Linked DNA regions of Anolis sagrei. The protein of the gene in region 1 interacts with the protein of each later gene in a biochemical or structural test. Links are inferred from orthologs where the notes say so. Each region holds a gene or a part of one and is shown in the gene's direction. Other genes may lie near its edges.

Region 1 (10,516 bases):
TCCCTGGTGGCACAGTGGGTTAAACCCCTGTGCCGGCAGGACTGGTTCGAATCCAGGGAGAGGCGGATGAGCTCCCTCTATCAGCTCCAGCTCCTAATGCGGGGACATGAGAGAAGCCTCCCACAAGGATGATAAAACATCAAATCATCCAGGCGTCCCCTGTGTAACGTCCTTGCAGACGGCCAATTCTCTCACACCAGAAGCGACTTGCAGTTTCTCAGGTCGCTCCTGACACGACAAAAAAATAATAATCCTGTGGGGTTTTGTGGTTTGTAGTTTAGTGGGGTCCCAGAGCTCTATGGTGGAGGATTCTAAATGCACTCCCAACTGTAAATCCCAGAATACTTTATAACAGGGGTCCTCAAACATTTTAAACAGAGGGCCAGATCGCAGTCCCTCAAACGGTTGGAGGGCCGGATTATAATTTGAAGAAAACATGAATTTGTAGTGCAAAAAACACATTAAAACAATACAATAATTAAAATGAATAACAATTTAAACAAATATAAACTTATTAGTATGTCAATGGGAAATGTGGGCCTGCTTTTGGCTGATGAAATAGGATTGTTGTTGTGTGCTTTCAAGTTGTTTCAAACTTAGGTCGAACAAGCAAGGGCCAGGTAAATGACCTTGGAGGGCCGTATCTGGCCCCCGGGCCTTAGTTTGAGGACCCCTGCTTTATAACGTTGCCATGGAATTTAAGGTGGACCAATAGCACATGTAGTGTGTGGCATTGCAACTGAAGGGGCATGCACTCTGCACATTCTCTGGAGTCCCCTTCCTCACCTTTCTACGTCAGAAGGGGACTCCAGAGAACATGCTGAGTGCATGCCACCACCACTCCTTTAAAAGCTGTATAATAGGCATGTGGGTCTGTCATGTTACACATAGATTTCCAGCATTGGGTTGCTGTGAATTTTCCGGGCTGTCTGACCATGTTCCAGAAACATTCTCTCCTGACATTTCACTCACATCTATAGCAGGCATCCCCAGAGGTCGTGAGTTTTGTGGGAAACAAGGCAAGTATATGACACACACACAAATTTCACGTTTCCAGTTGGGTCCCACTTCCAAAATACCTCATTATGAACATATATGTTAAATCCAGAAAAATCCAAGACACTTAAGAGTCCAATGCATCTTGGGATATGGGATTCTCAACCTATATTTGTGCAATGCACAAACACACAATGAAAGGAAGTACTAGAAGTATCACTAATCCCAACCCACAATTTTACTGTCACTCAAACATCAAGATCTTGTAAAGCAGTGGTTTTCAACCTGTGGGTCCCAGGTGTTTTGGCCTACAACTCTCAGAAATCACTTTACCAGCTGGTAGGATTTCTGGGTGTTGAAGGCCAAAATATCTGAGGACTCACAGGCTGAGAACCACTGTTGTAAAGGCTGCTGCTTTACTCATCAATAAACAGACTGTAGGAACATGGATGCAGAGAATCCTGAGCCTGAAAATAAGGTCTTCTGGGTAGGGTACAGTTTTTCAGCTTTAGGGCTAAAAACAAAAGTCCTGAAACAGTTTCCCACACATGAATATATTTAGTCCTTCTAAACAACAAGAAGTACATGGCCAAGCTTGTGCTTTATGAAAGTCTATAGTTGTTTATATCCTGCTTTTCCTCCAATAAGTTAAAGGCAACATACATAGCTGCTCTTCTTCCCACTTTATACTAACAGCAACACTGTGAGATAGATCTGGTTGGGAGAAAAGGACTGAGTGGCCGAAGGTGACAGTGCTTGTTTTAGAATTTAGTGGAACTGAAACTCCCAAGTCCCAATACAATATTTCTTAGCAGTGCACTACACTGGCTCCCCATAACGTGCTCTGGAGCTCAAGAGAGTAGAATATAAAATAAATTATATTCAGAGTCTGCCATTCCCATGGGGCCTCCAATCTATTAAATAAAAATGTAATGTTCGTTTGTGGGATTAACAGAACTCAAAAACCACTTGACGAATTGACACCAAATGCCCAAATGTGAACACAGGTGGAGTTTGGGGAAAATAGAATCTTGACATTTGGGAATTGCAGTTGCTGGGATTTATAGTTCACCTACAATCACAGAGCATTCTCAACCCCACCAACAATAGAATTGGGCCCAACCTCCCACACAGAACCCCCATGTGGGCCACAGCAATGTGTTGCAGGGGATGGTTAGTCCTAAATAAATATGGAAAGGACTGCTGCCTATATAATGGAAAAAATTCAATTACTATGTGGTGGATACGGTGCATCATAATCATATTTGTTACCAACCTCTCCTTGCAGAATGGGGCAAGATAAAACATTGCTGTGAGGTTTGTTTTGGGCTTTGGGGGCATGTTCCAACAGCATTCTCTCCTAGCTAGAATCTGTGGCTGGCATCTTCAGTGGTTCTGTTGGCAGAGAAGCAAATGGAGTGTATATACACAGGTACACTCCACTCACTTCATTGCCAACAGAACCTCTGAAGATGCCAGCCACAGATTCAGGTGAAACGTTAGGAGAGAATGCTGCTGGAACATGACCATACAGACCAATAAACTCATAGAAATCCAGTTATTCTGGCCATGAAAGCCTTTGACAAGACAAGGATACAACATCATTAAAACAGACGTAACACTTAAAATACATATTACAAAATACAAGGCCAACACTTAAAACACACAGTCCCTGGTTTATAAGCACTCAACTTACAAATTATTCATAGCTAAGAACAGGGGTGAGACAACAGGAAGTGAGAGAAATCTACTTCTTGGAAGGGAAATTCGGTCCAGAAAGATTTTTATAATAATAATAATAATAATAACTCTTTATTTATATCCCACTTTTCTCCCTGAACGGAACCCAAAGCGGCTGACAACATTATAAAAACAATACAAATCAACATACATATGTAAAACAATAACCTATAAAACCAAATTTACAATAGGGAATAAATATACTTTAAAACATCAAATGCAATTATTGTGTGAAACTCAACAAGAGACAGTAAACTTAGCATGACTTACTAAGAGTTAGCCTTCCTGCCATTCCAAGTAAGTTTTCATTAAAAGCTTGTGCGAACAGAAAGGCCTTTAGCTGCTTTTTGAAAGATGGCAGGGAGGGGACTGTTTTACCCTATTGAAAGCTTTATTACCAATCCTTGTTTCCACAAACCAAATATTTCAAAATCCAATTATCAGAACCTATAAAACCTGTCTTGTTCATAACTTAGGGACTACCTGTATTGGATTATACAGTGGCTTCTTGTTATGATAACTGGATTTCAACACCAGTTGCAGGAGAGTGAGTGTGTTTGTTCTGTTAAAAAAAAAAGCAACAAATCAGCATTATTTGAAAAATAATGAAAAAGGTGCTTAAAGCAGACTATTAAGAGTACTAATGGCATCTTGTTATGATGACTATAGCATGCATTGCTTCCAGGATGGTTTTCAAAACCAGTTGTAGGAGTGCTATTCTTCTTCTTTGTTGTTGTTGTGTCAGGAGCGACTTGAGGAACTGCAAGTCACTTCTGGTGTGAGAGAATTGGCTGTCTGCAAGAACGTTGCCCAGAGGACGCCTGGATGATTTGATGTTTTTATCATCCTTGTGGGAGGCTTCTCTCATGTCCCCGCATGAGGAGCTGGAGCTGATAGAAGGAGCTCATCCGCCTCTCCCTTCTGTTTGTGGGCTTTCCATAGACAAGAGAGAAAAGGGAGATATAGAGCACGTCTCAACTGACCATTTAATGCAGTCTAAAACCGTTATTGAAGAATGTGGTTTCACTGTGCAGACACACAGGAAATCCGGTTTGTGGCCTGGATGGTAATTACATAGACCACATAGCACTGGTATGCATTACAGGACTTTTTTGGAGTGCTTTTGTGGAAGCCTATTACCTGGTTGCCACCATTTGAAACTAGTTTTGAACTGTATTAAATGATCAGTGCAGGTGGAGCCATATTATCCTGTGGGGCCTTTTCAGAGGTAGCTAGTTCATCACTGTGGAAACGGCTAAACTAGAAAAGCTTTTCACCTGATCATAGTTCTGGCATCAAGCTTTTTTTCCCCTGACACCTCCATTACTTCTCATGCTGAATCCAAAGGCATAGCTTTATACTCACATCGGCCTCAAGAAATGGTAGCCGCATTGGCCACTGTTCATTGCTGCTCATGCCCCATGGAAGCTGGTGCCTGTCACATGCGGGAGTGATACGCCGATTTGACATCCTTCCTCATAGATTGAGCAAACTACCGTCCTTATTATACCTTCTTCACATTATCCATGTTTAAACCTTTCCTCGGGGACTGCAGGAACCCAGTCAAATGGAAACCATCTTCTTTAAAAGCACATATCGATTTTACGTCTATTTCTCCAAAGTCAGTCTCATACAGATTACAAAACACACAGGCAGGGAAATGGGCTTCTTCTGAAGTTCACGGTGCTTCTTTCAGTGGTTGTTTGTGTTGAGATGCAATTGACTGGCTTCTAGCCTGAAATGGTACGATATAACTGCTCTTTGTGGAAAATCCTAACCGGCTTTTGTATATTTTCATCAGTTGTTGTTAATGGAAGAGTCCCTCAGGTGTTTCTTACCCCATAAGAACAGCCTACAAAACCCACAGGCAGGGAAATGGGCTTCTTCTGAAGTTCACAGTGCTTCTTTCACTGGTTGTGTTGTGATGCAATTGACTGGCTTCTAGCCTGAAATGGTACGATATAACTGCTCTTTGTGGAAAATCCTAACCGGCTTTTGTATCAGTTGTTGTTAATGGAAGAGTCTCTCAAGTGCTTCTTACCCCATAATTGCCAAAACAACCACACGAGACATGACTCTCACAAAATGTGAGTGAAATCCTCTTCTTGACAGGTCTTGTACTCAATGGGTAAGAAAAGAAGGGTTGACTCTTAAGATATGCAGTTGTGAGCGAGAATACGGCATTTTTTGAATTAAAAAAACCATACAAGAGCACTATATCGTCTTCCCATAAATGCTGAAACTTCCTGATTGTCAGTAGTCGCTTTGGAAAAAGTGTTAAGTCACAAATCCTGGCAAGTGTGACCCTTTTTGTGACTTTCTGATCAATCTAAATGTGTCAAGTCTTTCAAAGTCCTGATTAGGCCTCTTCCTTCCACAAGTGGCTTCAAAGCTGAAGAGTACAAAACAGTTGCTTGTGGCCTTCCATTATCCTTCTATAACACAGCACAACATCCATTCCATATAAGTTTGGGCTACAAACTTAGTATTTAAACATTTGAGGCAGGCGATGGGTTTGGATTGATGATACCACCAAGATCTCATTTCAAACGGAGAAGAGCAACTCTCTCCTTCCCAACACTGAGCGAAGGGGGCGTGGCGAGGCGAAGCGAAGCGCAACTGGCGGAAGAGTAAACGGTAACCAGTGGGGGCAGCGTTGCGCAAACGGCGTAAGGAGCGCACGCGCCAGAAAAAACTCAAGCGTTAAGCTTAACAACCAGGAAGTGAAGCGTTGGGGAAGGTTCCACAGACCACGCCCCCTTCCAATTCAAATCCCCCTTTATCTTTTTTTTTTTTTTGCTTGTCGTGTTGGACGCATGCGTAGTAGAGCTGACCCTTGGAAGAAAAGAAGCTGGCCCCGTTTCTTTTCAGCTGAGACAGTTGGAACCGGAGGAAGGGGGCGGGCCCTGACGCGGAGGCAGCCAATCAGCGAGCGGACGCCGGAGCAGGAAAGGGAGATGATTGACCAATCGTAGCGCGGGAATGGTTTAAAGGGCGTTGAAGGAGGCGGGCGGAGGTTTGAATTCAAACGCTCGTCGGAAGTGCAGAGTGGTGTGGAGTGGAGGTGAGTGGGCCTTCTCGGGAGTCTTCCACAGCGTTTTAACCTGGAAGCTTCTACTCAGGGGCTCTCTTGCGTGGTATCTATCTTCTCTAAGCTTTTTTGGGAACATTTTTTTTTGTGGGGAGAGGGTTTGAAGCATAAAGAACAAGCCTTTAGGAGCAACCACCGCAGGAAGTTGGTGAGCATACAGTGAGCGGGGAGGGTGGGAGTTCTAGTCTAAATTTGCCTTTCCCATGCCCTGGATAGAGACTGGAGAAGCAACACACTGCATGGATAATGCAGTTTGAGACTGTTTCAACTATGCTGGAGAGTCCTGGGAGTTGTAGTTTGAAAAGGTCATTATCTTCTGCCAAAGAGAAGAATAAAGCCTACAAATCCCAGGATTCTACATTATAGAGCAGGCATGTACAAACTTTGGCCCTTCAGGTGTTTGGGATTGCAACTCCCACAATTCCTAACAGCCAGTATGTGTCAATGGTTCATCATCATAGGCCAATGTGAATAATAATAATAATAACTAGCCGTCCCCTGCCACGCGTTGCTGTGGCCCACATGGGGGTTCTGTGTGGGAGGTTTCGCCCAATTCTATCGTTGGTGGGGTTCAGAATGCTCTGATTGTAGGCGAACTATAAATCCCAGCAAGTACAACTCCCAAATGTCAAGATTCTATTTTCCCCAAACTCCACCAGCGTTCACATTTGGACATACTGAGTATTTGTGTAGAGTTTGGTCCAGATCCATCATTGTTTGAGTCCACAGTGATCTCTGGATGTAGGTGAACTACAACTCCAAAACCAAAGGACACAGCCCACCAAACCCTTCCAGTATTTTCTGTTGGTCATGGGAGAGCTGCGTGCCAAGTTTGCTTCAATTCCATTGTTGGTGGGGTTCAGAATGCTCTTTGGTTGTAGGTGAACTATAACTCCCAGCAAGTACAACTCCCAAATGTCAAGATTCTATTTTCCCCAAAATCCACCAGCGTTCACATTTGGACATACTGAGTATTTGTGTAAAGTTTGGTCCAGATCCATCATTGTTTGAGTCCACAGTGATCTCTGGATGTAGGTGAACTACAACTCCAAAACCAAAGGACACAGCCCACCAAACCCTTCTAGTATTTTCTGTTGGTCATGGAAGAACTGTGTACTAAGTTTGGTTCAATTCCATCATTGATGGAGTTCAGAATGCTCTTTGATTGTAGGTGAACTATAAATCCCAGCAACTGCAACTCCCAAATGACAAAATCATAAATTTTTGAGTGATGGTCACTCCTTGTGTTGTGAGACGTTTTGTTGCCAAATTTGGTGTTATATCATTCATTGGTTCTTTTGTTTTTAAGGTACTCATTATGCACAGAGCATTTATATATAGATATACTCGTACTCCATATTCTGCTCTATCTTCCTGAGGGGACTCCTATTGCAAACATTCAATGCCATTGTAAAATTGGCAGAGACAGACAATACATAAACAGAGGCAAGGCATCTCTCTTTTCCTCTCTGTGCTTGACTCGGTCATGGAGAGGTGCTGTTGTTTCATTTTCCATAGATGCCTTTCTTGGTCAGTTTTTTGCTGGCATGTTTTTTCAGGTCGCCTTTTACCTCTCCGCCAAAGCAGCACCTATTTATCTACTTACATTGTTTTCAAACTGCTAGGTGATCAGAAGCTGGACTGATGGCCGGGAGCTCACCCCATGCCGGGTTTGAATCTTCTGGTCAGCAGAATCTTCTATAGCAGGCAGTTTAAGGCATATATGACGAAGGCAGTCCTTTTTAGGTTTTTGAGAATCTGGCACCATTGTATTGTTCCCCACACCTGAACCTGCAAATTCTTCAGGTGCGTGGTACAGGCAGCCACCAAGTTACAAACAACATTCTTAAGTTGAATTTGTATGTAAATTGGAACAGGTACATTTAAAAGTGTAATTCTAGATAGATAGATGTTTCAGATAGCATAAGGAAGGGTTAATACCCCTGTGATGTTTGGTATGCTGTTTGTGCTCCTGTTCAGAAGATTTCACCTCACTTCCTGTCCCTGTGGATTTTGAAAAAAAAAAAAGCTTGTTCTGGAAGCAAGGCTTGGTGAGAAAACTTCAGTGGAGAAATCTTTCCCCCACAATCACTCTTCCAGGATGAATTTCTCTTCTGAGGGATACATTACTCACTTAGAATTATAGAATCAAAGAGTTGGAAGAGACCTCATGGGCCATCCAGTCCAACCCCCTGCCAAGACGCAGGAATATTGCATTCAAACCACCCCTGACAGATGGCCATTCAGCCTCTGTTTAAAAGCTTCTAAAGAAGGAGCCTCCACCACACTCCAGGGCAGAGAGTTCCATTGCTGAACGGCTCTCACAGTCAGGAAGTTCTTCCCCATGTTCAGATGGAATCTCCTTTCTTGTAGTTTGAAGCCATTGTTTCACATCCTAGTCTCCAGGGAAGCAGAAAACAAGCTTGCTCCCTCCTCCCTGTGGCTTCCTCTCACATATTTATACATGGCTATCCTATCTCCTCTCAGCATTCTCTTCTTCAGGCTAAACATGCCCAGCTCCTTAAGCTGCTCTTCATAGGGCTTGTTCTCCAAACCCTTGATCATTTTAGTCGCCCTCCTCTGGACACATTTCAGCTTGTCAATATCTCTTCAGTTGTGGTGCCCAGAATTGGATACAATATTCCAGGTGTGATCTAACCAAAGCAGGATAGAGGGGTAGCATTACTTCCCTAGATCTAGACACTATGTTCCTATTGATGCAGGCCAACTTCCTGTTGTCTTTCTCCTGTCCTTAACTATGAGTTGTTTGTAAGTTGTATGTTTGTAACTTGGGAACCACCTATATGTGTATACTTGATTGATAAGCTGCTTTGGGAAGGTTGGTGGTTCAAATCCATGAGACGGGATGAGCTCCTGTCTTTCAGCTCCAGCTTCCCATGTGGGGAAATGAGAGAACACTTCCACAGGATGGTAACACATCTGGGCATCCTCTGGGCAACGCCTTTACAGACAGCCAATTCTCTCATATTGGAAGCGACTAGCAGTTTCTCAAGTCACTTCAGACATGAAAAAAGCTGCTTTTCTATAACCTTTAAAACTGAGATCCTGTCTCCATGGACCATTTATTGCAATCCAAAACTAGCTTTGCAGCCAGGCAGCAAATCACTCAAAAACATGTTCGAAAGAAAACTTAAATGCACACTAGAGCTCTGGTTTGTGTAATTACCCTCCAGGCTTCATTGCTGGCTTCAACCTGCCTTAAATGATTACTGTAGATGGGGGCCTAAACTGCAAATCCTACCTGCCCCTTAGGTCATAATAAAATTCCTTCCTGGATTACTGTTATTGGGCATTGCCACATATCTGTTAAGTCTATTAATTAGTACCTGAACTGGAATGTCCTGGTGTCTCCTTTTTGCTCTGATCTGGTGTGGGATATGTGTGTGCCTTCAAGTTTCCAGTCTATTTATGCACTTTATCCACTAGCCCTATCCTCAAAAATGGACTTACACCACTCTGCCCACCTGTGCCCAGAAACTGATTATTAGGTTCATTGGTTGTTGGTTCGATGGTTTGCTCATACAATTTTGTTATAATGTTGCTGTTTTATGCTGTTTATGTATTTTAGTGTGTTATTTTTAGTTTAATTATGTTGACTGGGCTTGTCCCCATGTAAGCCCCCTGCATCCTTTCGGGGAGAGTTATTATTTAGGGTGATATTAGGAATTTCATATATTTTTTCTTTGGCAAGGAATACATATATGTGTTTTTTTTCCAGTTTCCTTCTCAGAAATATAGGTCACAGTACCTCTAATTTATTGTCCAAATAATTTCATTGATGTGAAGGTTTGGGCATCAGAATGAACTGGTGAAAGTAATCAATGTAATGGTCTAAGTTTTCAAGGCATGCTTTTTAAGAATCATTTGCTCACATTATTTAAAAAATAATCTCAGATTTTTAGTCATGTTGGAATTTAAAAAACCTGGGAATTTTATCCTACACATGTTAAATGACTAAACTTCTTCCTTTTTCCTCAAGCAATAATGGAAAAAATAGGTAAAGAGAACTTGAATGGACATCCATGTCATCATAGCAAGGTAAAATGTTTCATTCCAGATGTTAGATAGTGTCAGTATTAGTTTTGCAAGCTTATAAGAGCAAATATTTTCAACTGAAATTTCATCCGTAATATGCTTTCAATTGATGATTGCAGGATATAGTATCCACAGAGCTGTTTTCACAGTAGTTTGTAGAATAACACACAATGCCCTTTGTAACACTGGTTTGAGACAGCCTTGGGCTTATGCATTCTCACTTCTCCATGTATGATGGAAGGAAGGGAGTGCTGTTTGTTTGTTTTTTAAATGCTAAACTAATCTCCATTTCAAGGTAGCTATTCCTGCAAGTCCTCAGATGTATAAACTATATATCTGGTATTTTTTTTTTCTACTCAACGTAAATTGAGATTACAGTATTTCCATTCAAATCTTTTTCTTCATTTGTGGAGGAAGTGTTGGTGGCCCAGGGATGCTCTCAGAAATTAAAAAATATCATTCAGCTTATCGTGAGTTCTATGTACTCTAGTAGTTTTCAGGATAATTATTACAATTCTATAATGGAATCTATTCCTCATTTAACTTTCTGTTGTCCTCTGATGAACAATCAGTGTGAACATCATGGTTTCTAAGAGTTTGGAATTCCTTTAGGGCTGAATATAATGAATTATT
Region 2 (10,495 bases), on another chromosome or scaffold:
CTGTACGGCCCTTGGAGTTATCTTCCGACTCTAGGATTGTATAAATCTGGATGGCCATCTGTCGAGAGGGCTTTGATGTTGTCTTCCTGAGTCTCCTTCTTTGGAGATTTTCCAGCAGAGACTGGATGGCCATCTGTCAGGAGGGCTTTGGTTGTGTCTCCTGTTGGACTGGACAGCCCTTGGAGTTATCTTCCAACTTTAGGATTCTATAATTTTGGATGGCCATCTGTAGAGAGGGCTTTGACGGTGTCAGAAGGAGGCTGGACTGGATGGCCCTTGGAGTTATCTTCCGACTCTAGGATTGTATAAATCTGTATGGCCATCTGTCGAGAGGGCTTTGACGGTCTCAGAAGGGGGTTGGACTGGATGGCCCTTGGAGTTATCTTCCAACTCTAGGATTCTATACAGCTGTATGACCATCTGTTGAGAGGGCTTTGACGGTGTTGGAAGGAGCTTGAATTGGATGGCCCTTGGAGTTATCTTCTAACTCCAGGATTCTATAAGGCTGTATGGCCATCTGTCGAGAGGGCTTTGACGGTGTCAGAAGGGGGTTGGACTGGACGGCCCTTGGAGTTATCTTCCGACTCTACGATTGTATAAATCTGGATGGCCATCTGTCGAGAGGGCTTTGACGGTGTTGGAAGGAGGGTGGACTGGATGGTCCTTGTTGTTCCCTTCGAACTTGAAAATTCTATAAGGCTGTATGGCCATCTGTCGAGAGGGCTTTGACGGTTTCAGAAGGGCGTTGGACTGGACGGCCCTTGGAGTTATCTTCCGACTCTAGGATTTTATAAATCTGGATGGCCATCTGTCAAGAGGGCTTTGATGGTGTCTTCCCGGGTCTCCTTCTTTGGAGATTTTCCAGCAGAGACTGGATGGCCATCTGTCGGGAGGGCTTTGGTTGTGTCTCCTGTTGGACTGGATGCCCTTCCAACAGACACAAGAGTTGCTTCCAAAGCCAGTGCTGTCTCTCTGCACAAACTTTGGAAACCAGGCCAAAGCGGGGCCTTTTCCGTCCTTTCCTCCCGCTCCCTGCCCGCTTGTTTTCAATGGCCAAGAAAACAACACCGGGCCGGGTCCCTTTGGGGAAGCTGGCACGGCACAGAAGTTCCTTTCTTTGCTGGACTCTTCTGTTGTGTCCCCAGAAAGGATGATAAACACGGCTTTTTTTGTCTCGGACATCAACAACAGCCGGGAGGGGGAGACGGGGGAAGACAAAGGGGACGATTCAACCGTTCGGGTCAGCCGGGGTGTCCGCATGACCGCTTGGACGGACACACAGACACACACGAGCCTTCGCGTCGATGCCCATTCAGATCTGGGAGAATATGTTGCCTTGGAGTCTGGTGGAATCTCCTTCTCAAGCAGAGGATGGCTGGCCATCTGTCGGGAGGGGTCGGATTGTGCCTCCCTGATGTGCAGAAAGGGTTGGACTCTAGGATCCAACTCTAGGATTCCATCCTCGTAATCATCATGGTTGTCATTTTTGATCATATTCATGATGATGGCGTCTTCTTCTTTGGAGGCCGAATGGCCATCTGTCGGGAGGGATTGGATTGTGCCTCCCTGATTGGCAGAAAGGGTTGGACTCTAGGATCCAACTCTAGGATTCCATCCTCGTAATCATCATGTTTGTCATTTCTGATCATATTCATGATGATGGAGTCGTCTTCTTTGGAGGCCGAATGGCCATCTGTCGGGAGGGATTGGATTGTGCCTCCCTGATGTGCAGAAAGGGTTGGACTCTAGGATCCAACTCTAGGATTCCATCCTCGCAATCATCATTGTTGTCATTTTTGATAATATTCATGATGATGGAATCTTCTTCTTTGGAGGCTGAATGGCCATCTGTCGGGAGGGATTGGAACGTGACATCCTGCCTGGCTGAATTAGGTTGGACTGGATGGCCTTTGGGGTCCTTTAGAATAGGATGGTCCTCAGGGTCCCTTCCAACGCTAAGATTCTATGATTCAGAGTCTGGATGGTTATCTGTCGGGAGAGCTTGGATGGTGTCTTCCTGCCTGGCAGAATCGGGTGGGACTAGATGGCCTTTGGAGGGTCCCTTCTGACTCTAGGATTCTATCATTTTACGTTTTGGTGAAAGCAGTGTGCTCAGGATGGCCAAAGGTTGCTACCCAAAACTCATGGTGTGTCTCCACTATAGATTGATGCTGTTTGAAACCACTTCAGCTGTTCCAGCACAATGCTAGAGTCCTGGAAGTTATTTAGATGGATGGATGGCTAGATAGATAGATAAATAGATAGATACTTACTTACTTAGGCGATCCCTCGTTGGACGAGTAAGATGGTCTTCCGCTATGGATTTCCTTGTGGGTCCGTATGTGGCTGTGAAGCCCTATTCTTCCTCTGCATCTTCTTCCCCAGAGAGATAGAGAGATGGATGGATAGATAGATAGATAGATAGATAGATAGATAGATGACTAGATAGAGAGATATAGAAATAGATAGATAAATAGTTAGGGAGAGAAAAAGAAATGGATGGATACATAGATCGATAGATCGATAGATCGATCGACCGACAGACAGACAAGACAGACAGACAGACAGACAGATAGATTGAGATGGATAGATGGATGGATGGATGGATGGCTAGATAGATAGATAGATAGATAGATAGATAGATAGATAGATAGATGTGTGGATAGATGGATGGATGGATGGATGGATGGATAGATGGATGATAGCGGGAGAGAGAGAGAGATAGATAGAGATTGAGAGAAAGATGGAGATAGATAGAGAGAGAGATGGATGGATGGGTAGGTAGATAGATAGATAGATAGATAGATAGATAGATAGATAGATAGATAGAGATTGATGGGTGGATAGATAGATGGATAGAGATCAAGAGAAAGAGAGAGAGAGAGAGAGAGAGAGGGTTAGATAGATAGATAGATAGATAGATAGATAGATAGATAGATAGAGATTGATGGGTGGATAGATAGATGGATAGAGATCAAGAGAAAGAGAGAGAGAGAGAGAGGGATAGATAGATAGATAGATAGATAGATAGAGATTGATGGGTGGATAGATAGATGGATAGAGATCAAGAGAAAGAGAGAGAGAGAGAGAGAGAGAGGGATAGATAGATAGATAGATAGATAGATAGATAGATAGATAGATAGATAGAGATTGATGGGTGGATAGATAGATGGATAGAGATCAAGAGAAAGAGAGAGAGAGAGAGAGAGAGAGAGAGAGGGATAGATAGATAGATAGATAGATAGATAGATAGATAGATAGATAGATAGATAGAGATTGATGGGTGGATAGATAGATGGATAGAGATCAAGAGAAAGAGAGAGAGAGAGAGAGAGAGAGGGATAGATAGATAGATAGATAGATAGATAGATAGATAGATAGATAGATAGAGATTGATGGGTGGATAGATAGATGGATAGAGATCAAGAGAAAGAGAGAGAGAGAGAGAGAGGGATAGATAGATAGATAGATAGATAGATAGATAGATAGATAGATAGATAGATAGATGATAGATAGATGGATAGATAGATGGAGAAAGAGAGAGATGGATGGATAGAAAGATAGATAGATAGATTATAGTTTCACATGCTCCCCTTGGCCAAAGAGTGCGGGGGGCCTCCGCAAACTACAACTCACATCCTGATAGCTTGAAGCTTTGGCGGTGAAAGTGGCATCAGACTGCATTCATGCAATGGTGTCGACATGTGTCTCCTTGTGGAGAGGAAAAGCAGGGTATAAATAAACATAAACATAAACATAATAACAACAACAATAATGATCGAACTGCCAAAACTCTGGCACAAGCCAGTCAATGGGGTCCCAGTGGTGATCGGCACACTGGGTGCAGTGTCTCAAGACCTTGGCCTGCACTTAAACACAATCGGCTCTGACAAAATTACCATCTGCTATCTTACTGGGATCTGCACGCATTATTTGCCGACACATCACACAGTCCTAGGCACTTGGGAAGTGTCCGACGTGTGATCCAATACAACAGCCAGAAGAGTGTCTGCTGTGGACTCATCTTGTTGTGTTTCAAATAATAATAATAATAATAATAATAATAATAATAATAATAATAATAATAATAAATACATCACACAGTCCTAGGCACTTGGGAAGTGTCCGACGTGTGATCCAATACAACAGCCAGCACAGTGTCTGCTGTGGACTCATCTTGTTGTGTTTCCAATAATAATAATAATAATAATAATAATAATAATGTCCAGGCCATTGGTTGAATACAACAACACCTGAGTCCACCACTGGCATTTTTTGCCTCTGTTTTCTTCCCTCCAGAGGATGAATGACCAAAGGCCACACACACGCTGACCCCGGCACATTTTCCACATGCTTCTCCTGCCGATGCCTCGAGCATCCCACGGCAGAGAGAATGCCAAGCACTCCGTCCCTTGCGACGAAGAGAGCTGCCCACGGAGGAGAAGCCCACTTCTCCTCTTGTGATGTTTGGCTTCTGCGGCCATTGCTTTGGCTGGAAAACCGAGCCCCGGAGAAGAAGATGAAGAAGATGAAGGCCATCTTCTCACCTCAGCCTGACCATCCATGATGAGGACTATTTTTTCTTAATCTTCTCCCTCCTCTCCTTCTTCTCTTCTTTCCTCTCCTCCTTCTTCATCATCATCTCCATCTTCTTTGTATCCATTCTTTTCCAGCCTTCCTCTTCTTCCATCTCTTTTCTTTCTTCTCCCCTCATCCTCTTTTCCTCCTCTTGCCTCTCCTTCTCTTCCATCTTCTTTTTCCTCCTCCTCCATCGTTTCCAGCCTTCCTCTTCTTCCTCTTCTTCCGTCTCTTTTCCTTCTTCTCCCCTCATCCTCTTTTCCTCCTCTTGCCTCTCCTTCTCTTCCATCTTCTTTTCCCTCCACCTTCATCATCTCCCTCTCCTTCTACCTCCTTTTTTCATCTATTTCTCATTTTCTTCCTTTTGTTTTTCTTCCTCCTTCCCCTTCTTCATCTTCTCATTCCTCTCCTCCATTGTCTTCTACTTCATCTTCCCTCTCCATTTCTTCTTTTTCTTTCTCCTCCATCTCCTTCTCTTTCCTTCACCTTCTTCTCCTTCAAAATCCTTTCCTCCTCTTTCTTCATCTTCTATCTCTTCCTATTCCTCTTCCTCATCTTCTCCTTCCTCTCCATTTTCTTCCACCTCATCTTTCTTCTTCGTCTTCCTTTTCTTCTCCTTCTCCTCTGTCTTCCTCCTCCTCCTTTTCCCCATCTTCTCCTTCCTCAACTCCTTCCCTTCTCTTCCTCTTTTATTTTCTTTCTTTTCTCCATCGTCTTCTTCCTATCCTCCTCCATCTTCTTCCACCTCCACCACCACCTTCTTCTCCTTCTTTCTCCTCCTTCATCTTCTCCTATCTCTCCATCTTCTTCCACCTCCACCACCACCTTCTACTCCTCCTTTCTCCTCCTTCATCTTCTCCTATCTCTCCATCTTCTTCCACCTCTTCTTTCCTCTTCTTCCTTTTCTCCTTCTTCTTTTCCCCATCTTCTCCTTCTTCTCCTCCTTCCATCTTCTTCTTCCTCCTCATCTTTTATCTTCTTCCTTTTCCCCATCTTCATCTTCTCTTTCTCCTCCTCCTCCATCTTCTTCTTCCTTGTCCACCACCTTCTTCTCCTTCTTTCTCCTCCTTCATTTTCTCCTATCCCTCCATCTTCTTCCACCTTCTCTTTCATCTTCTCCTTCCTCCTCCTCCATCATCATTTTCTCCTTCCTCTCCTTCTCCATCATCTTCTTTGTCATCCTCCACTTCCATCTCCTCCTTCTTCCTCCTTCTTCTTCCTCATCTTCCATCTCCTCTTTCATCTTCTTCCTTTTCTTCTCCTTCTTCCACCTTCTTCATCATTTCCTCCTCCTCCATCTCTTCCTATTCCTCCTTCTCTTATTATTACTCCGATAACGGAACTCTGTGGGATCGACCAGGGATCGAGCAAGGTGGCCCCCCACAGATGCAACACAACATCAACATCAAGGATCTCGAGAAGGAAAGTAAGTCTTTATTGCACCCCATGTTGCATAGATTCACACTGTCAAATAAATGCAATCCGACACTGCAACAGTAGTCCAAATATTATCGTGTATACACTACATCTATGTATATAGTAAACTTGTGTCATCAAGGTATGGACTGAAGCCATACAAGTTATTTCCTTATCTTTATTCTTTTTCCACTCTTCATTTTTTGTTCTTTTTCTTTACTTTTATTGCATCTTATACTTATTGCACATTTCGCATCCTCTTATTGCACTTTTTCTTTATTCTTATTGCAATTTTTCCTTTACATTTATTGCACTTTTTCTTTGTTCTTAATTCACTTTATTCTTATTGTACTTTTTCTTTACTTTTATTGCACTTTATACTTATTGCACTTTTCCTATAGTTTTATTGCACTTTATTCTTATTGTTCTTCATTCTTATTGCACTTTTCTTTACTTTTAATGCACTTTATACTTATTGCAACTTTTATAAACATTTATTTCACTTTTTACTTGTGTTGTACTTTATTCTTATTATACATTTTCTTTACTTTTATTGCACTTTTTTTACTTTTATTGCACTTTTTCCTTACTTGTGTTATACTTTATTCTTATTGCATTTTCTTTACTTTTATTCCACTTGTTTTTACTTTTATTGCACTTTTTCTTTACTTTTATTGCAGTTTTTTTGTTGTGTTGTACTTTATTCTTATTGAACTTTCCTTTACTTTTATTTCACTTTACTTTTATTGCACTTTATTTACTTGTGTTGTACTTTATTGCACTTTACATTACTTTCCTTGCACTTTTTCTTTACTTTTATTGCACTTTTTGTTACGTGTTGTACTTTATTCTTATTGTACTTTTTCTTTATTTTTATTTCACTTTTAAACTTTTATTTCATTTTTCCTTTACTTGTGTTGTACTTTATTCTTATTTCACATTTTCTTTTCTTTTCTTGCATTTTAAAAACTTTTATTGCACTTTTTAGACTTGTGTTGTACTTTATTCTTATTATACATTTTACTCTTATTGCACTTTTTACTGTTATTGCACTTTCATTATTTTTTCTTTCCTTGTTGTACTTTATTTTTGCACATTTTCATCACTTTTATTGCACTGTTTCTTTACATTTATTGTACTTATTTACTAGTGTTGTACTTTATTATTGCACTTTTTCATCACTTTTATTGCACATTTTCTTTATTTTCATTGCACTTTTTCTTTACTTTTGTAACACTTTTTCTTTACTTGTGCTATACTTTATTATTTTACTTTTCATCACTTTTATTGCTCATTTCCTTTCCTTGTGTTGTACTTTATTCTTATTACACATTTTCATCACTTTTATTGCACTTTTCTCTACTTTTTTGCACTTTTTCTTTCCTTGTGTTGTACTTTATTCTTATCACATATTTTCTCTACTTTTATTGCACTTTTTCTTTACTTTTATTGCCCTTTTCCTTTCCTTGTGTCATACTTTATTCTTCTTGCATATTTTCTCTATTTTTATTGCACTTTTTATTTTATTGCACTTTTTTATTTTAATGCATTTCATTATTTGTACTTTATTGTTGCACTTTTATTTACTTTCATTATACTTTTCCTTTCCTTGTGTCTTACTTTATTCTTCTTGCATATTTTCACTACTTTTATTGCACTTTTCTCTACTTTTATTGCACTTTTAATTTACTTTTATTACATGATTTCACTACTTTTACTTTATTGTAGCACTTTTTCTTTACCTTTATTGCACTTTTTGTTACTTTTTTTGTACTTTATATTCTTATTGCACTTTTTCTTTACTTTTATTGCATGATTTCATTATTTGTACTTTATTGTTGCACTTTTTAAACTTTTATTGCACTTTTTCTTTCCTTGTGTTGTACTTAATTCTTATTGCATATTTTCTCTACTTTTATTTCACTTTTCTTTACTTTTATTGCACTTTTTCTTTACTTTTATTGCAATTTTTCTTTCCTTGTGTTATACTTTATTCTTATTGCATGTTTTCTCTACTTTTATTGCACTTTTTTACTTTTATTGCATGATTTCATTACTTGTGTTGTACTTTATTTATTGCACTTTTTACTTTTATTGCACTTTTTCTTTACTTTTATTGCATGATTTCATTATTTTTACTTTATTCTTGCACCTTTCTTTACTTTTATTGCCCTTTTTCTTTCCTTGTGTCGTACTTTATTCTTCTTGCATATTTTCTCTACTTTTATTGCACTTATTTACTTTTTGCACTTTTTCTTTCCTTGTACTTTATTATTGCACTTTTTCTCTACTTTTATTGCAATTTTTATTTACTTTTATTGCACTTTTTCTTTCCTTGTGTTGTACTTTCTTCTTATTGCACATGTTCTCTACTTTTATTGCAATTTTTCTTTCCTTGTATTGTACTTTATTCTTCTTGCACCTTCTCTTTACTTTTATTTCACTTTTATTTACTTTTATTGCATGATTTCATTACTTGTGTTGTACTTTATTGTTTCACTTTTTCTTTACTTTTATTGTACTTTTTCCTCACTTTTATTGCCCTTTTTCTTTCCTTGTGTCTTACTTTATTCTTCTTGCATATTTTCTCTACTTTTATTGCACTTTCCTTTACTTTTATTGCCCTTTTCCTTTCCTTGTGTTGTACTTTATTCTTCTTGTCCCTTCTCTTTAACTTTTATTGCACTTTTTCTTTACTTTTATTGAATGATTTCATTACTTGTGCCGTACTTTATTGTTGGACTTTTTCTTTACTTTTATTGCACTTTTTCTGTGTTGTACTTTCTTCTTATTGCATATTTTCTCTACTTTTATTGCACTTTTTATTTACTTTTTTGTACTTTTTGTGTAGTACTTTATTCTTATTACATATTTTCTCTACTTTTATTGCATTTTCTTTACTTTTTTGCACTTTTTCTTTCCTTGTTTTGTACTTTATTCTTATTGCACTTTCTCTTTACTTTTATTGCACTTTCTCCTTGTGTCTTACTTTATTCTTCTTGCATATTTTCTCTACTTTTATTGCACTTTTTATTTACTTTTATTGCATGATTTTATTACTTGTACTTTATTGTTGCACTTTTTCTTTACTTTTATTGCACTTTGTCATACTTTATTCTTTTTGCACCTTCTCTTTACTTTGCTCATTACTTTGCTTCCACTTCATCCTTATTTCCCTTTCCCTTATTTCCTGGTTCCACACTTTCATTCTTGTTGCACTTTTCCCTTTATTGATCTTTTCCTACCTAATCTTTGCATTGCCCTTTCTTGACCTTGATTGCACTTTCCCCCCCTTTTAATGTTGACTTCACATTATTCCTTATGGTCCTTTTATCTATTATCCATCCCCCCCTTTCTTCCAAAACCATTTCCCTCCCTAGAATGGGCGTGCTTTGTTCCTTCCTGCCTTCCCTTCCCAAGCATTTGAGCAGGAGGCGTGGCTTTGGGGAAAGGAGCGAATCCCCGCCCCTTAGTGGGCGTGGCTTGCTGCCCGCCAGCGCTGATTGGCCCGCACTGTCTTCCCTTCCCAGGCATTTGAGCGAAAAGAACGAAGCACCGCCCCTTTATGGGCGTGGCTTGCTGCCCGCCAGCGCTGATTGGCCCGCTCTGCCTTTCCCTTCCCAAGCATTCGAGCAGGGGGCGTGGCTTTGGCGAAAAGAACGAAGCGCCGCCCCTTACTGGGCGTGGCTTGCTGCCCGCCAGCGCTGATTGGCCCGCTCTGCCTTCCCTTCCCAGGCATTTGAGCGAAAAGAGCGAAGCACCGCCCCTTCGTGGGCGTGGCTTGTTATCCGCCAGCGCTGATTGGCCCGCTCTTCCTTCCCTTCCCAAGCATTCGAGCAGGGGCGTGGTTTTGGCGAAAAGAGCGAAGGACCGCCCCTTAGTGGGCGTGGCTTGTCACTCGCCAGCGCTGATTGGCCCGCTCTGCCTTCCCTTCCTAGGCATTTAAGCGAAAAGAGCGAAGCACCGCCCCTTTGTGGGCGTGGCTTGCTTTCCGCCAGCTCTGATTGGCCCGCTCTGCCTTCCCTTCCCAAGCATTCGAGCAGGGGGCGTGGCTTTGGCGAAAAGAGCGACTCCCCGCCCTTTGTAGGCGTGGCTTGTTTTCTGCCAGCGCTGATTGGTCCAGCCTTTCTGAGGGGCGTGGCTTGATGTCCGCCAGATTGGCCCGCTCTGCCTTCCCTTCCCAGGCATTCGAGCAGGGGGCGTGGCTTTGGCGAAAAGAGCGAGTCCCCGCCCCTTTGTGGGCGTGGCTTGTTGTCCGCCAGCGCTGATTGGTCCGCCTCTTCTGAGGGGAAGAGGCGGCGTCGTCCTGTTCGGAAACGCCTCCGGGCGGAAACCGGTGCCGGGCTCTTGGAGTTCCGGGGTGGCCGAAGCGGCGAGAAGGGACGAGCGTGGCGCAGAGAGAGAGAGAGACACAGAGAAAGAGAAGCGGAAAGCGGAGGGCCCGGATTGGCTCAATCCCCTCGTCACGGAGAAGGGGCGGGGCCTAAGCCAGGATTGAGGC

The links.
Region 2: of the proteins of AURKA (region 1) and OTUD7B, one has a biochemical effect on the other in vitro, tested with the Homo sapiens proteins (2 studies listed by BioGRID, with this or other methods). The link is inferred for Anolis sagrei from reciprocal best matches to the Homo sapiens genes AURKA and OTUD7B.

The regions. Positions count from the first base shown.
Region 1 is NC_090024.1:226,265,588-226,276,103, reverse strand, and holds the start of AURKA (aurora kinase A), read left to right. Parts: upstream 1-5,710; 5' UTR 5,711-5,795; exon of another isoform or gene 5,796-5,873; intron 5,874-5,903; exon of another isoform or gene 5,904-5,975; intron 5,976-9,827; 5' UTR 9,828-9,832; coding exon 9,833-9,886; intron 9,887-10,516. UniProt on the Homo sapiens protein: Mitotic serine/threonine kinase that contributes to the regulation of cell cycle progression.
Region 2 is NC_090032.1:5,647,803-5,658,297, reverse strand, and holds the start of OTUD7B (OTU domain-containing protein 7B), read left to right. Parts: upstream 1-5,913; 5' UTR 5,914-6,004; intron 6,005-10,305; exon of another isoform or gene 10,306-10,495. UniProt on the Homo sapiens protein: Negative regulator of the non-canonical NF-kappa-B pathway that acts by mediating deubiquitination of TRAF3, an inhibitor of the NF-kappa-B pathway, thereby acting as a negative regulator of B-cell responses.